Diceros bicornis minor: one gene and its partner. The protein of the gene in region 2 interacts with the protein of the main gene of each other region in a pairwise test. Links are inferred from orthologs where the notes say so. Each region holds a gene or a part of one and is shown on either strand. Other genes may lie near its edges. The genes, in order: SEPHS1 and ZBTB25.

Region 1 (7,874 bases), on a different chromosome or scaffold from region 2:
GTTACAATAACGTGACACAGTTACCACCTCTTTGCTCTTTGAATCCTCCTTACAGAAATTAGAAAGACAGACAAAAAAAAACCAATACGAGAGGAGAGAAGTCTGGTTTTTGACTCACTGACTGGCCTGCAGTCAGAGACGCTTTACTCAGGGAAGTATAAAGAAACAACGGTTCACATACCGAGCCTTGGCATGACTGCTCCCAGAAACTGTTCATCTTCTTGGAAGTGGTTCTCCTGTAAGGACTCCAGCAATTTCTGCAGGACATCTTGGGGCACCTTGCAGCCAGTGCCCTTCAGTTCAGTGAATCTGGTTAGCCGGAAGCTCTTGTCCAATTCATAACTTTCCGGGTTAAAGGACTCCCGCGTAGACATGGTTCTTGGGCCCACACGTCTCACAGCCGGGCTCCTCCCCTCCCTCTCCTAGCCGGCTGGTTTCTTGACAGATCCACCTAGGTAGCCCCAAGACACAAAGACACCATTTAAAGAATTCTCACCAGTACTTGCCAAGAATCAAGGGAACACACCATAGTGAAAAATAAATGTCAAAAGGCCTAAAATCACCAACACCACAGGGAAAGTGATTTGGGGCCACAACAGTTCGCCACAGAGATGCATAAGTCAGGGCAAGTCATTTGATAAAGTGACAACACCATCACAGACATCTTCTACGGAGGAAGATCTGACGTCTGTGTTATAACTGTGGCTCTGAGGGGCAGCGAGGAAGACCTCCTCTGAAGAAGGAACTATGGGCCCGCAGGCTTCCGTGACACAGCACCATTTTGAACACTAAGCCCCAAAGGTTCTAGCAGGCAGCACCGTGAGAACACCTCTTGTCACTTCACCTGTCAACCTAGACGCACTTCAGTTCAGAAATTAAACATTCTGGCTAAAGCGACTTTTCTGGAAAACCTTTGCAATGTCACAAATAAAACGTCTCATAGAAACTCTGCGGGAAATGGATGTGGATGGAAATGCGTTTGATGAAATTCTTCATGATGCTAAGTCTCATTTTAGAAAAACACGTTTTCACTCCGAGCCAAAAGTACACAACACGATCCAAAACTAATAGGAGGCCTCACTACAGAACACAACTTGCAAACTGGGATGGCTGTTTAACACCACAAGGATCATTTTCTTCAAAGAGAGCAGTGGAAAGTTCTCTGATGTTTTAATGCAGTGCTATTTCCTCGAAAGCAAACATCCCACCCAGCAAACTAGTACAAACACATCGCTGACAAAACATGCTACTGCTCATTACCATTTCATTGCAGAACTAAAACGATAAATTAAACCCTACTAAATCACTAACATTTATGATACTTGGTACCACTGGAAGTTTCTGCAACAAGCTCTTCTAAGTTTGAGGCCTTTGGGGCTAAACCAAAAACTTACATGTGCTCCTAGGGTTTACAAACCGGACGAGTGATACTTTATTGGGCATAGAATTACATACGCCCCAAGTTTTAGGGTTGGTTTCCCCTCTAAAATTTATGATTAAGAACATAATTCCCATTTATAGTTTTCGATCCCTGGGAAGCACATCGCCAGTTGAAAATAAATCTCACAAAGCCCGAGTTTGGGCAGTAATCCAAACCGACTTTACAAAAACACGTTTGGGATGAGCAAGGATTTCAGTTTGAAACCTACAATTGTACAGGAATAAACCTTCCAACATTCATGAACAACCTGTCCAAAACGAAGGCGGCAGGCGGGCAGAGCCAGTTTACCGACATGGGAACTTTGAAGCCATTTTAGAGTTAGGAAAAGTTTACCACCACTTCAACTTGGAAGTGTCTGGATCAAAAACAAGTCCTTTCCTCACAAAATGCCTCGCATTTAACACCACCTCACTCATACCAGGAAAAAAAAAAAATCCAACTCACGAGGCATCCAGTTATTTTCCTACCTGCACCCCTATCCAAAAAAACAACAAAAAAAAAAAAGGCGGGGAGAGGAATTTGGCATTTGGGGGATTAACTTCCTTTTAGACATAATTTACATCTTTCCAAATTTTTAAGGGGGAAAAAAGTTTGAGAGACCCTAAGTCCAGAAGGCACACAGGAGTTTTAAAATTCCAAAAGGAACGAGAAACCCAAATCACACACACACTCACATCCGAACCTTAAAAAGATAAACCCGTACATTTTTGGAGGGGATGAGAAAGGGCGGAGTGCTCGGGGGAAATGAGTAATTAACGGGGGGGTTCAATCTGCATCAGAAGAGGCAGTCAACTCCAACCCAGAAAGCCGCATGTTTACACCTTTAAAACAACGATATGAATATTTAAAGACGAAGGTTAACCCTTTCTTTCTCGGCTACGTTGAAACTGTTTGTAACCGAGCGCGCAAAGCGGGCTACGGCGCCGGGGGAGCGCAGTGAGTGGGGGAGCAGAGGGGCAGCCCCGCCCGGTACCTACCTACCCCCCAGCCCCTAAGCCCAGGGAGCAGACAATGGGGTGGCCACCGCGACGCGGGCGCGGGGCCCCGGCGCTCCCCATGCAGCGCACGTCGAGGCGGCGGCCAGAGCGCGGAGGACCGGACTCGGGGACGCCTTAAGTCTCAGGCTGCCGCCTCTACAGGCGCCCCGGGCCCGGGCTCTTTGTGCGGCGCGGCGCGGCGGGCTGGCCGCGGCCGGGCGGAGGCGGCGCGGCGCCGCCGGCTGGGCCATGCTCTCCCGGCGGCGGCGACGGGAGCGGCGCGCGGCCCGCGGGCCCCCCGGCCGCGGCGGGGCGGGCGCGGCCGGGGCGCCCAGGGTCAGGCGGCGCCCGCGGGCCGGAGGGCGCGCGCGTGGGGGCGGGGAGGGCCGGGAGGCGCCGCGCGCCGCGCCCAGGGGACCGCGCTGGGCTCTCCCGCCGCGCGCGCGGGCCGCCGCCGCCGCCGCGCAAAAATGTCGGCGGGCGAAAAAATTAACCCCTGCGTCGCCGCCGCCGCCCTCCCCCTCCACTCCTCCCCCGCCCTCCTCCCTCCCTCCTTCCCCGGCTCCGCGCGGCGGCGGCGGCGGCGGCGCGGGCGGTGCTTCTTTTTAAAGCGGCCCCACCAAGCCCTGGCTCTGCCCCTCTCCAGGCAGCGCTGGAGCGCGCCGGCCGTGCACGGCTCCCGGCGGGCCCCGGCGGCCCGGAGGGGGATCTGCACGGCCGCCATGGGCCTGCGGACGAATATGCCCCTTTAAGCCTGGTGTCTCGCCCCCCCTCCCCAGCCGGGCGCTTACCGGTTCGCCTTGCGCCCTCCTCCTCCTCCCGCGAACGGGACTCCGGCGCTCCCACAATGCACCGGGCGCGGCCGGGCTCCCTTAAGCGTCGCCTGAATAAAAATGCCGCTCCCGGCGGCGGAGGGCGGGAGGGCCCCGGGCCGCGCCTGGGCGCCGCGGGGGCTCGGCCTGGCTCGGCGGGCCCCTGCCGGGAACGGGGCCGCCGTGCGCCGCGCGCGAGGGGCCTTTAAGGGCCGGCTACCTCCCTTTAAGAGGCGGCGGGCCGCGGCCGGAGCGGCTCGCTGGCTGCGTGCGGCCCGGGAAGGGGGCGGGGGCGGTGTGCAGGCCCGAGCGCGGCAATGATTGGTCTCGGGGGAGGGGTGGGGGGTTGCAAACCCGAGGAGCGGTGGCATCCGTTGCATGATGCAAAAAGGATTGATTTCAAAAGTTGCGAGTTGCATTGGCAGCCGCCTTTGGCGCCCAGGCCACCTACTTTTTCTTGACCCGCTGGAAGGGCCGGGAATGTTTTCCAAAACCTGGCCCGGCTCAACCGCGCCACGCTCTGCGGGTCGCTGTACCTGCTCCCCGAGCGCTCCCGGCGTGTTGTCCTGGAGGACAATGACCGTGGAAAGAATCTGAGAAAGATTAGGAGCAGAGGAAAAGCCGCCTCTGCTACAATGAAAGATTTAAAAGCAAACGGCGCGTTTGATTAATAATGACTTCACCGTCTCTCCCTTCTATTGTTTAGCCCGGCTCAGGAGTTAAGATGAGACTTGGTGAATATGCACACATCCTGCAGTTTCTTGAAAGTTTAATACGCTTGGTAGGAAGTGAGAGCTTACGGATCCTCAGTTGCATTGTTTGCTCTTCACATGTCCAAGTAAACATGGCAGCCTAATACCCTATGGGTTTCAATTAACACCGATAGGAGAGCTTCGGCTTGTGAAATTACTTCTCTCAACTTCCTGATGCTCTGCTGATTGAAATAAAGCAAAAATGCTTTCATGCTACATCTTAGGGCTTCCCTTAAAACTGAGGAGTGTGGAGGAATGCCGACCAAACTTTAGAGTGGTTCAGCATTTTCCAAATGTGTTTTTGACCAGAAATGTTTTTGGCAACCGAACTGTGCTTTAGGTTGCGCGTCAGGTTTGCAGGCTGCCGAGATGCCTTTTTCATTCTTAAAATTTCTGCTTGACAATTCCCCAGGGTTTTAATCTAAGGGAGGATGCAGAAGTGATGCAACCTAGAAGACCGGGCTGATACAGGCTCCTCCTCTCTGTGTCCTTTCTGTGTACTGTCGTAAGTTAGGAAAGAATGTAGTAGCCTAGCTTTAATGTGATTTGTTGGACTTTTGTAAGACTGGCATCAATCTGTGGTTGACACACCTGGATTTGCCTCTGAATCACCTGGGAAGACAGGTCCACACAATCTCCAGGCAATACTCCAGAATCAAGGAAGGATACGGATATCTTTATTCCCCTCATCCCTCCCCTTTTAAAATTGATTTTGTGAGTTGTTGGGTTTTGGTTTCGTTTGTTTCTCGGCAAAAAATGTCACAACTAGAAAAAAAAGACTTTGGGTGATTAGGAGGAAGGTGATTCGGCAGAGTTGAGTAGGGCTCTCTGTGAAGGCGCGCGTGTCATACCGAGAAGTTTGATATTTCTGTTGTAGTCAGCAAGAGTTTGTCAGATTTGTTGCTTACAACTTTAGCTTGTAACGATGGCTGTACCACATCTGGGAGGATGCCCTCTCCAGAGGGGAAACTAGGACCACATCTCTAGTTAGGAGGTAATTGTACTAGTCAAGCGTAGATCAGAGTCGAGGGTATTGGAACTGAAGCAGCGGGGAACGCAGACAGGGAAGGGGATTTGAGGTGATCTAGTGTGTGGTTGGAGGAAGAAGCATAAGATGACCCCCAGGTTTCTAGTTTTGGGGGCCTGGGTGGGTAGTGATGCTACTAACTGAAATAGAAACTACTGAAAGACAAAGAAGTTTTGGAGCGAGTTCAGCTTTGGAAATGTTAAATTTCAGGTGCCCGCTGGATAGTCTAGGCAGAAGGCAATTGGTAAAACTAGGTCTGGCGCTTGGGGTGGGGGTGGGTTCTGAGTTTGAGATGCAAACGTGGGTGCATCAGCATGTAAATGGGGTTTGAAGCCTCTGAAAGAGGTGAGATTAACCGGTAGGGAGAATGCAGGAAAAAAGTGACAGAGACCTTGGACAGAGCCCTGCCGAGCTCCAAAATTGAATGGCTGGGCGAGCAAGAGGCTGATCCTTGCTGAGTCTGTGGGAGGGTTAGCATGCTCAAAATCATTCCTCCCCCAGCCCTGGGGGTTGCAGCTTGAGACACATTCTCTTGAGCAGAGGCTGTAGACTTTTGACTAAGCCACAGATGATCTCGATTCATCTAGAGTCAGTCTACAACCTTGGAGATAGATAACCCACCAGATCTCTTGTCCTTCCCTTTCTTTGCCCTAAACGCAAGCCTCCCTCTGTGCTTCCCCAGGTCAGTCTTCTTTCTCCTGCCATCCTTTCTATGAGCCTTCCCCAGTGGGCTCATCAGAGCCCTGTTCCTTTGGGAACCATCTCCCCTGGGTTCTCAGGTCCTACTGGCTCCACCTGAAAGATGGTTCCCCTGGGTTGCGTTACTTGCTGGAGGCTTGTTAAAAATACGAATTTACCAGCCCCACTCTGAAGATTATATCTAGCAGGTGCAATGGGTTGAATTATGACAAAGACTCTTTGCTTGACCAAACTTTAGTCAGGTTCATGAACCTTCTCCTAGGCCCAACTGTGCACTTCCTTGTAAAATTCAGTTTTAGCGAGAGTGATATCTGATCACCCTCAATATCTGATCATGTTCCTCATCCTCCACCATCCCCCCAGGTGACGTCTGATCACCTGGCCTGACTTCAGCAAGAATCCTGTTAGGTCGGTTTAGCCAGAACCCCTCTCACCCCTGATGTGTCTTAGTAATTTCCCGTCCACTGCCCCCCACCTTGGTCCTTGGTTATGAAGGCCCACTTGCCCATGCTGTGTTCAGAATTGTGCACACTCTCTCTCCCCCACTGCAAAATTCTATCACAGTGACCTATCACAATGGTCCTGAATCATCTGCCTTACCATCTTTAACAAGAGTCATAAAGTTTTTTCTTTAACAGTTGTGCCCCCCCCAAAAGATATATTGAACTCCTAACCTCTAGTACCTATGAATGTGGCCTTATTGGGAAATAAGGTCTTTGCAGATGTAATCAAGTTAAGGTGAGGTCGTACTGGGTTAGGGTGGACTCTAAATCCAATGACTTATAAGAAATGAGAGATTTGGGGGCCAGCCCAGTGGCGTAGTGGTTAGGTTCACATGCTCTGCTTTGGTGGCCTGGGGTTCATGGGTTCAGATCCCAGGCACAGACCTATGTACCACTTATCAAGCCAGGCTGGGGCAGGCATCCCACATATAAAGTGGAGGAAGATGGGCACGGATGTTAGCCCAGGGCCAATCTTCCTCAGCAAAAAGAGGAGGATTGGCAACAAATGTTAGCTCAGGGCTAATCTTCCTCACCAAAAAAAAAAAAAAAGAGAGAAGGGAGATTTGGAGACAGAGAGGCAGGGAAGAAAGCCACATGAAGACAAGGCAGAGATTGGAGTGATGGAGCTACAAGCCAAGGATTGCCCACAACTACCAGAAGTAGGAAGGATCCCCCCTAGAACCATCAGAGAGACCACGGCCCTGCTGACACCTTGATTTCAGACTCCTGGCCTCCAGAACTGTGGGAGAATACATTTCTGTTGTTTTAAGCCACCCTGTTTGTGGTATTTGTTATGGCAGCCACAGGAAATCAATACAGCGTGTCTGAGGTGTATGTGGGGGTAGGAGGTGCTAAGAACCCACACTTTGGATGGGCTCCCCTGGTGGTGGTGATGCTTTCTCAGAAAGCCAGAGGGCAGGAGGCTGCCTGTTCATCTGCTTCCCACACTCTCCTAGCTCCGTGACATTACTTTTCCTCTGTCCTGCCTTCCTTATGTCCTGTCTGTCTTTAGGGTTCTTGCTATCCAGCATTCCACCATCTGTTTCCGGCTTGGTCACTTCCTTACATTGTTTGAGTTATTCTCGTTCAAACACGGCCGCTGATCTGTCATTGTGGAGGGCGGTGGGAGTGTGTGATCAGAAATAAGACCTGGTGGGCAACAGACATTTCAAATCTAATGACTTGTAGCTTCACTCCACTTAAGCCGCCCGTTCTCGCAGCTGTGCTAAGAACCTTCTCGTTCCTGGAAATCTTAAGCACCAACATCCTGCCTCCAATCCTACAGTCCTCTCATTTCTTTACTCCCTGACACCTGCACCTCAACCGCATGGGGGCCACCAGTCTCTCTCCTTCCATCCAGCCTGGATCCCTGGGGGCAGCTCAGCGGCCTGGTGTCCCGCATGTCCCCTTCTTTGGCCATACCCACCCTGAGACGTGCAGCCCTAGGTCCCTTCCACCCACCGTCTTCTCTGCCCCTTCGCTAGGCTGGAGAAAACCTAGAACTTGGAGATCGTGCCATTACAGATGTATGATCTCCGGTGCCAACTGGGCTTTTCCGACAGCTGGAAAATCCTTAAGCATGTTATTCCTAATGTTTATTATTCTCCCCAAAGTCTATACCACACTTTCCTGCCCTCAATAGCAGATGCACCTCAAGAAGAAA
Region 2 (8,371 bases):
AAATCCCTGAGAATATAAGAGAAGAGGGTAAGCAGCAGACGTGGTAGATGATACAGGAAGTGCAGTTATGCTCTAAAAACCTTTAACGGAACAGGGAAACGTTAGTTTGGGGCCTCCTGCCTGTTGGCAGACACAGCCAGCCTGCTACATCTCTAACCCATCTAACCAACATGTGGGATGCCTGATAAAGCCGCAGCACCAGGCAAACAAGAATGCTAACACTGGTGACTGCAAATTGCTAGTGGACCTTAAAAACATCAGAACGCTGTGAAGGAAAGAAAAAGATTCTTCTTAGTCCACTAAAAAAATAGACTGCATTTCTGAAAGAAAATATAAGGTACTCAAAGGACAGGAGAAAGGTGGAAAGCGACAAGGCTAGTACAGACCTAGAATACAGTAGAAACAAGAACGATTATAACTTCTGAATATAGGTGAGCCAATACTTCCTTTGCCATGGAACATTCCACAAACACCTTATCCGCATGGGCTAATGAAACCCTTTGCTTAAAGTGCCCAGAGTTTTTCAGGAGGAACAAAAAGTCATTGTATGATTAATTTGTAACCAGGGAAGGAACGAATTAGAAAAATTTCAAAAATAACCAGCTTAACACTATGGACACTTTTTCTCCAGATAAGGTCAAAAAAAAAAAAAAAAAGAGAAAAAGAAAAAATTCCTGCTGGCAAAGGGAAAGCAGAAGTTTTAATAAATTCAATCAATAATCCTGAAACTGATGTTTGCTTCAATTTCTTTCCTCTTCCTCCACCCACCCGAAGCAAGTTCAAGTAGCAATATCTTTCCTATCCTAGAGGGAATAATACTGTTCTAGTTATTATCAAAGCTACTATTATGAGTAAATACTATACGCAAGGCCTTGTGCTAAGTGCTCTATGTACATTATTTCTTTTAATCCTCACTGTGACTATACGTGTTATTTTTATTTCCATTTTACTGATGAAAAAACCCCTAGGCTTAGGACACATAACTAGCAAATAGTATCAAGTGGGGATCAAAAGCTAGGTCTGACTCCATAGCCTGTGCTGGTAACTATGAACTGGAGCAGTAGTTCTCTTAACATTCTTCTCTCAAAAGACTGAAGTTCACATGCAATTTGGAATAAATAAGCAGAAAGGGGGCACAGGAAGTGGTGTAGAAGTACTTTATAATTGATCAAGATAAGAGCACCTGCACTGCTTTTTTAAGACAAGAAAAAAGCCTGCAATAATATAAAACCCCCCCTCTTTTCTGGCCCTGTTACTACTAAAATGGACACGTTTTTCTTTAACAAGATGGTCAAGCACCACCTACAGACCATAGTAAATAAATCACTTTGGTTCAGCGGTGGGGAGGGCATTACGCAACACTTCCCAGCACAGCCCTGGGCAGGATATTTTACGGCCAAGGCACTTGGGCCCCTCCTCCCCAGCTAGACAGCCTGGCTCCTTCGCATTCCCCTCAGGAGATAGGGTGGAAGCACACAACTCCACTTTCTAAAGCAGAGAGGGCAGCTGAAAAGTCCTGCTCGGCCTCTCTGGGCAACCACAGGCGCCAATAAATCAGCCGCAGGCGATTCTCTCATCCCCTTCCTGGCTTGAAGTGGTAGCAAGATATAATGCAAAAGAGCACTGACTGGACTTGGGAGATAAGTGATCCAGACTTGAATTCTACTGCAAATGAAGCCAGGTAAATCTCTCTGAGCCTGTTTCCTCATTTGTAACATGGAGATACTACTACTTCCTTTTTGCAAAGTATTCAAAATTCATCTATGAAAGTAGCTAGCCACTGCAGGTACTCAAACAGCGACCAAACCTGAGCAGGATCCATCTCAACTACCTCCAAATAAGACACTCAGGGCAGGGCTGGGCAAAAAGGCGTAGCAAGTCACATGAGGTCCTCCCTCCTTTCTTGCTGACCACCCCTGTGATGTTCCACTGTTTCCTGATAACCTCCCAGCCATAAGAACTAATCTATCCCATGTACTATCCCATCAGTGTTCTGTTCCCTATTAAGGAGCTGATGTCTGATGACGGATTAATAGTTTATCCTTAATTAAAACATATCCAGATTGCTAAAGAGGACTTTGATGCCTTAACCTAAGGAAGCAAGCAATGCTGCAAACGTTGGTTATTCTTGCAGAGAATAGGGCTGAACTGGGGGGAGACGGGCTTTGAACTCCAAAGTACATCACAGGCAGTCTACTCCACCTAGAAATAGTGCCAACTCCATTCCTTAAAGTACCAGAGCCATCACACACTGGCCAAACCTGATTTCTCCATAACCTGAATTAAGGCAAGTATAATCAGCTCTGATGGAGGGTCTCTACAGTGAGTGGGTTAAACTGGCATTGGACTCCTGATGTGGTGCACAGCGCAACCCTGGAGCTCAGTTACTCAAGTGTAGGACCCCATCAAACTACACGCTCCTTTAGGCGTGGTGTCCTCATCTGTAAAACGAGAGGATGAACTAGATTTTCTATAAGGCCCCCTTCAGCTTTAAAATCTGATTCAAAAGTGTACTTTACACACTTGACAAAATCCTGTGAGAATCGACAGCTTTGCCAAAAAGATTTGTCTCAAGAGAATGAATGCCAAATTTAATCCCTTGGGGGAAATGGGCGTTAATTTATGAAACCTGTTGGCTGCTGTCAAGTTCCAGGTATAGCGCTAGGTGCTGCCTAAGCAGCTTGATTTCCCCAAATAATAAGCGCCAGGGAAGACAGTAATGAATAGGGCAAGCTCCAAAAACGAAAAACTCGATTTGCTTAAAGTAAGATTAATATAATCTGAAAAAAGAAACAAATGAATTTGGGGGGGACTTCCTGCCCTAGAAACGGGTAATCACCAACGGGGGTGGGGGAGGGAGAGGGAGGACAGCGGCCGCAGCGTCTCGCAGGCTGCACCTGGAGACCCGCCCACTTGCGAGAAGGGCCGGCGCGGCCGCCGGGGAAAAGCCGGAGGCCCGCCGGGACTTCCCGCTTGGGGTCGCACCCAGGCCCGCGGCGGGGAGGGCGCCATGCCTTTGCGGTTCCCCGCGCGCCGTCCCGGCTTGCGTCAGGCCCCGGCAGCGCCTTGTGTCGGCAGCGACAGGCGGCTCCGGGCATCCTCAGCCCAGCGCTCACATGCGGTTGCCATTTTCCTCTTGTGCCCTGATTGACATCTCAAATGGACCAAAAACACCCCTCTCCCCAGCTACTTGCATCTGTCCCGCGACCGGCGCAGCTGCAGGCCCCCGCCCAGGGCGGCTCGCGGCGGGAGGGACTGAGCCCGGAGCAGCCCACAAGGGCCGGGCCGCGTCGCTTACCCAGACGCCGCCGCGGCCGCCGGCCGGCTCCTCCGTGCGGGAGGGGCGGCTCCCGCGCCGTGTACGTCACGCGGCGGCGCCGGCTCACGCACCCCGCTGCCGGCTCTCGCGCGGCTTCCCGCGCCGGCCGCCCCGCGATGGGCCCACGTGATCGCGCGCCTGGTAGCCGAGGAACCAGGGGCGCGGGGCCGAAGTCTGTGTGCGTGCGTGCGCACTCGCCCGCTCGAGTGGCCAGGCAGGGGTCGGCGTGCGCTTGGGGCGCCTCCGCCACAGTCCCCAGTCGTGACTGTAGGCGGAAGCGTGCAGACGAGCCTGAGCGTCACAGGCTCCCCACACACAACCGCGTGACTTGGGGACTTTCCCCAGGGTGTGCAAAAGCACGGGCACCCCCTCTGTTCGGGGGTGGGGGTGGGCAAGGATGCGCCCGCGTGTTCGCGAGGAGAGGGGTGAGGGCGCGGGGCCAGGGAAGCTGAGCCGCGGGAATCTGGGAGGGGAGGCGGGCTGGGCGGGGTGGGGCATGGCGGGGGAAGTGACTCAAGGCCGGAGGCGGACAGGCCCATGGAAGGCAGGGTGGGGGGAGCGCGGGGAATGGGCAACCATGGACGGACTGGCCGCGCACGAGACAGGGTGATGGTGCTGGCACCCCCAGAACACCACGGACGTAGTGCGAGGGAAGGCCCAGCTGCTGGGCCCTACGGGGCAGGGGTCTGACATCTGGACGGAGTGGGAAAGCAGCATCCTGCCCTTGGGGAGTCGGGAGGAGCCCCGTCCTGACCAGCCCCGTCCTGACCAGCTGTGCAAACAGGAGGAGGAGGAGGTCCCAAGCCTACCCTTGGGAGAGGGGCGAGAGAGGTGGTCAGGCCGCCGCCGCGCCGGCCCCCGCGGTGCGGGTTGCGCCAGCCTTCTCGGAGCCCGACGCAGAAACTTGTTGCAACAAACAGGCGACCGCGGGTGCCCCTAGCAGCCAGCGGCGGAGTGGGTGGGCGGGCGAGAGGGAGGGGAAGGCTGGCGGACGCCGCAGCGAACTGGTGGGCAGACCCGGAGTCGCCGCGTAAGCGGGGCCGGCTCAGTGCGGTGCGGCAGGCGCGGCTGTGCGGCAGCGGAAGTCCTTTGTTGCAGCACAGTCCCTGGCAGAGCCAGAACCTCTCCGCGCAGCCCAGCCCGAGCGCCGCCGCCACTGCAGCTCGCGGCCCCTTCGCCTCCGCCCGCCTTTCCCGCGGCTGATTTGCCTTAAACTCCCTAAAATCTCCGCAGCCCCGGTTCCTGCTGCGGCCGGTGAGTATTTGCCAGTTGTGGGGCTATTTGCGCAACTTTGGGCCGGGCCGGAGGGCGGCGGACCGCAGGCCTGGCGGAGTGCGGAGCCGGAGCGGCGCCGACCCGTGCGGGGAGCCGGAGCGCGGAGGACGCGCGGCGAGGACCCGGCGACGGGCGGCTGCCGGGCCGCCTGCTCGACCCCGCCGCCCGCCGGCGCGCCTGGTCCGGGACGTGCGGCCTCCGTGGGTCGGAGGCGAAGCCCCCGCGGAGACTAGTTCCCAAATTAGTTACCTTCTTTTCCCTTTCTTTCTCTGCCTTTATTTTTTTGAGGGGGGAGGGGAGGTGTAGACGGGAGGCGGGAGGACCCGGTTGATTGACGTGCCCAGAGCCCGCTTCTCTCAACTTACAGCTGCGGCTCCTGGGCGGGTGGGAGGGGAAGTGTCCCGGAGCCGAGGCCGCAGACTTGGGCGCGCTCCGAGGGAGGAGGCGTAAGAGCCGTGCAAATTCTTGCCACGCTCTTTCCCACCTCCTCTTACCGGCACACACGGTTTTTTGTTCAGTAAAAAGTGGTAGGTCTCGGGTTTGGGAATTTTCAGTGGAAAAGATCTGTTTCCTGGGAAGAAAGTGCTTTCGCTTCCAGTGGTGGGCGCTTACTAAGAAGTTCTCTTAGTGGTCGGTACGTGTGTTGGACGTAGATTGGGAGTCGTTACCGCTAAAATATGTAGGCTTGGGTCTGAGCTCAGCCACCCTCCCAGTCTCCGTTTCTACCTAAGCAACGCGTCTACCTGATCTGAAAGGTTGACGTGACATTCTCCAAATTGGAAGTGTCAGGAAGATGTTGGTGAAAGTCCTTGATGTTTTCTGGGGACAGTAGGGCATTTGTATGTGTATAATAATATTCCTAAATGGAGCTTCAGCGTGGTAGGTACGCGCAGATTCTTCCTTGGCTTGAGTGTATTTCCATACAGTATGTATCACGGCAGGAAAACTGTTCCAGGAACAATTTTCTCTTTGACATTCGAACCCAAGGAGTGGTCCCAGGCATTTTGTAGGCGACTTAGAATCAGTTCCTTGAGCTAAAGTTCAAGGCCCTCGGGAGCAGATTTGGTGAAGGATGCAGTTCTGGTGATAACTTCAAAGCAATCACCACCTTGTCCTTTGAAGCTGAGAAATTAGATTCTATGACATTTTGCCAGTGCAGATGGATATGATGGGGAGAAATGGGAAGAATTAGGATACAAAAAGATGAAGTTTGAATGATGGCTGACCATAAGAACCTCAAAACTTTCCTTTTGAATTACTTGCTGGATGCCTAAAAGTCTCAGTAATAATGGAATGGCTTTGGGAGCTAGATGGGGGCTTCCTCATCTTAAACAGAGAAAATTGAAGCATAGTGGAGGTGAAATGCTTTTCTAAAGATTAATAAAGACAGTCTGCAGTAGAGCCTTCAGTTAACATCTTATATTCATTTTAAAAGCAGATTTCTCCATTATGACCAAATTTTCATGGTATAGAATAATTCAGGTTGAGCAGTCTTGCCTGAAGCCTTTCTATTCTTCCCACCCCACTATGATGGCCTGCTTCAGAGGAGGTGGGGGAGCCCTGGTGCCTCATTGTCGGAGAAAAGAGAAACCATGTTTAACCAGGACCTAGCAGGGCTGAGCACGCCTCAACCCCTCGCTCTTGACCTTATGTTTTGATTTCGCTTTAACGCTGATAAATTTTTGTACTGTTTTCTCATTCTCTTCTTTTGCCAGGCTCTGGGAAAGGTACAGTTCATGGAGCTTTTTAAAGATGTCTGTGTTCCTTGCAGCACCATTTCCCATTCTAATGTGCAGGAGAAAAGAAGGGCCTGCTTTCAGGCCTCTCCTCCAGCCAGGAAAAGTGCTAAGCCTCTGCTGCTAACCTTCTGGCCCAAAGAGGAGGAAACCATTTGGGATAAAAATGCAGAAAGACTACCATAGGTTTTTATTTTTAAGCTACAATCTGTTGTCTTCCAAAAAAAATCAAGGTACATTTGAAAAACATCTGCTTGAGAGGTCACTTTGGTCTGTATAGGATATTTTCTCCTATTTTTTTCTTGTGATAGTATTTTTTACAATAAAATATTGAAATTATTTTTATACTCATGTAAACTAAATTAAAAGTGACTCATGTCTGTTTTTCTCAAAATGGAAGTTATTATAAAATCCATGCTCTTTGTAAAAATTTAACCTATACTGAAGTACATATAGTACAAAAATGAAAGTCATTCTGACTCCCACTCCCCAGAGATAATCACTGTTAACGGTCAATTCCTTGTTTAAAACTCGAGAAGGCAACATTTGATCATAACTGTGCTGCTGTGTGTGCTTCCCCCTGCCTCGGGATGGCCTAGATGATTCATGGGCTCATGTTCTCTGTACACTGCTCTGGTTGGTAAGAATGGGCCAGGTGGAGGGAAAGGGAATGTTTTGCATTGGGCTGATTTAAAACTGTATGATTAAGTAACAGACATGAGAGTTTACATATAACAGGATGGCTATTTTGGGTTTGTCCTTATGAAGTACTTATTGTAGCTTGGTGGGCTAGTTCTCACACTTTTTTAATGTTAATGTTGATGTCCAGCCTCTGATGGGTTGATTTATACCGACTAAACTCCTTTAAACAAAATCCTCACATTTTTAGAGAGTTACATAATTTATAGTTGGGAAGGAGTTGATATATTTGTCATGACCACTGCTGATATGGGATGAGTTCCTCTTGATCAATATCCGGAGGTAGCTTGCCAAACATCAAGGAAAGGAAATTAGAGGAAAGAAGGGGATTAATGACTGTGTGGTTTTCAGATGTGGCATAGAAGGAGATGGTACATAGTTAAGATAGATTTCTAAGTATGTGACATGTATAGTCATTTGTCTAGTAACTACAAGAGATCTTAGTCAAAATACAGAATCTTTTACTCCTTAGCCTGGTATATTCGAGAAGACGGAACTGTGAAGTAGTTGACGATGTTCTGAAAACAAAGCCCCAAAATGGTACATAGAAGTTTAATCACAACATTGATTTGAGGGTGTTGGGGACATGGGTGTTTTTCACACTACTCTGCTATGAGTTGAAAATAGTTTTTGAAATAAAAGTGGAAAATTAAAGAATTAAATCACCAACCAGATTTTCTGTTCGTTGTGTATGGGGGATACATGTAATCCTTGTTAGAGATAACAGAAGAGCTCCATCCCCACTTCACATCTTCAGTATTGGAGGAGGGCTTGCTCTGAGGCACAGCGGCAGTCAGCAGATGGAAGAGGGGATGGGGAAGGGGCTGGGCATTCTGCCTGCAATATGGGGCTGTATGAGAATGGGGTGACTCTGGGAGGCTTAGAATGTCCCAAAGGGACACCAGTTAATAGTCATTGCCAGAGAGAGTGTTGTCTGGTTTATAAAAACTGAAACTCAGGGCTCTGAATCAAAAACGTCAAGAGTCTGAGTCCCATCTTCTACTTATGTGATGAGCACTTAAGTATCAATCACTAAACCTGTTTCCTCATTCACAAAATGAGGATAATAAAAATACCTGCCTCAAGGTTGTTGTGAGAATCATTTATATAATGTGTGGGAAATTGCTTTGTAAATTTTTTACCACTGCATGTATAAAAGTTGCCGATTGAAATAATGCAAAAAATTGATAAGCAAAATAAAACTTGACTACTTCAAAATTTATTCATTCAAAAATTGATCACATATCAACTAAATGTGAGGCAGCTGTCAGAGGCTCAGGGGATTCGGTGATGACTAAGACCATACCCTGATCTCAAAGAGCTCACAGCAGAGCAGGGTCGC

Evidence for each region.
Region 1: the proteins of ZBTB25 (region 2) and SEPHS1 interact in binary tests that used the Homo sapiens proteins (3 or more experiments, as listed by UniProt). The two-hybrid records come from large-scale screens. The link is inferred for Diceros bicornis minor from reciprocal best matches to the Homo sapiens genes ZBTB25 and SEPHS1.

The regions. Positions count from the first base shown.
Region 1 is NC_080775.1:14,120,782-14,128,655, forward strand, and holds the start of SEPHS1 (selenide, water dikinase 1), read right to left. Parts: upstream 3,297-7,874; 5' UTR 3,210-3,296; intron 2,587-3,209; exon of another isoform or gene 2,419-2,586; intron 2,336-2,418; exon of another isoform or gene 452-2,335; 5' UTR 375-451; coding exon 182-374; intron 1-181. UniProt on the Homo sapiens protein: Synthesizes selenophosphate from selenide and ATP.
Region 2 is NC_080763.1:13,580,753-13,589,123, forward strand, and holds the start of ZBTB25 (zinc finger and BTB domain-containing protein 25), read right to left. Parts: upstream 3,363-8,371; 5' UTR 3,299-3,362; intron 1-3,298. UniProt on the Homo sapiens protein: May be involved in transcriptional regulation.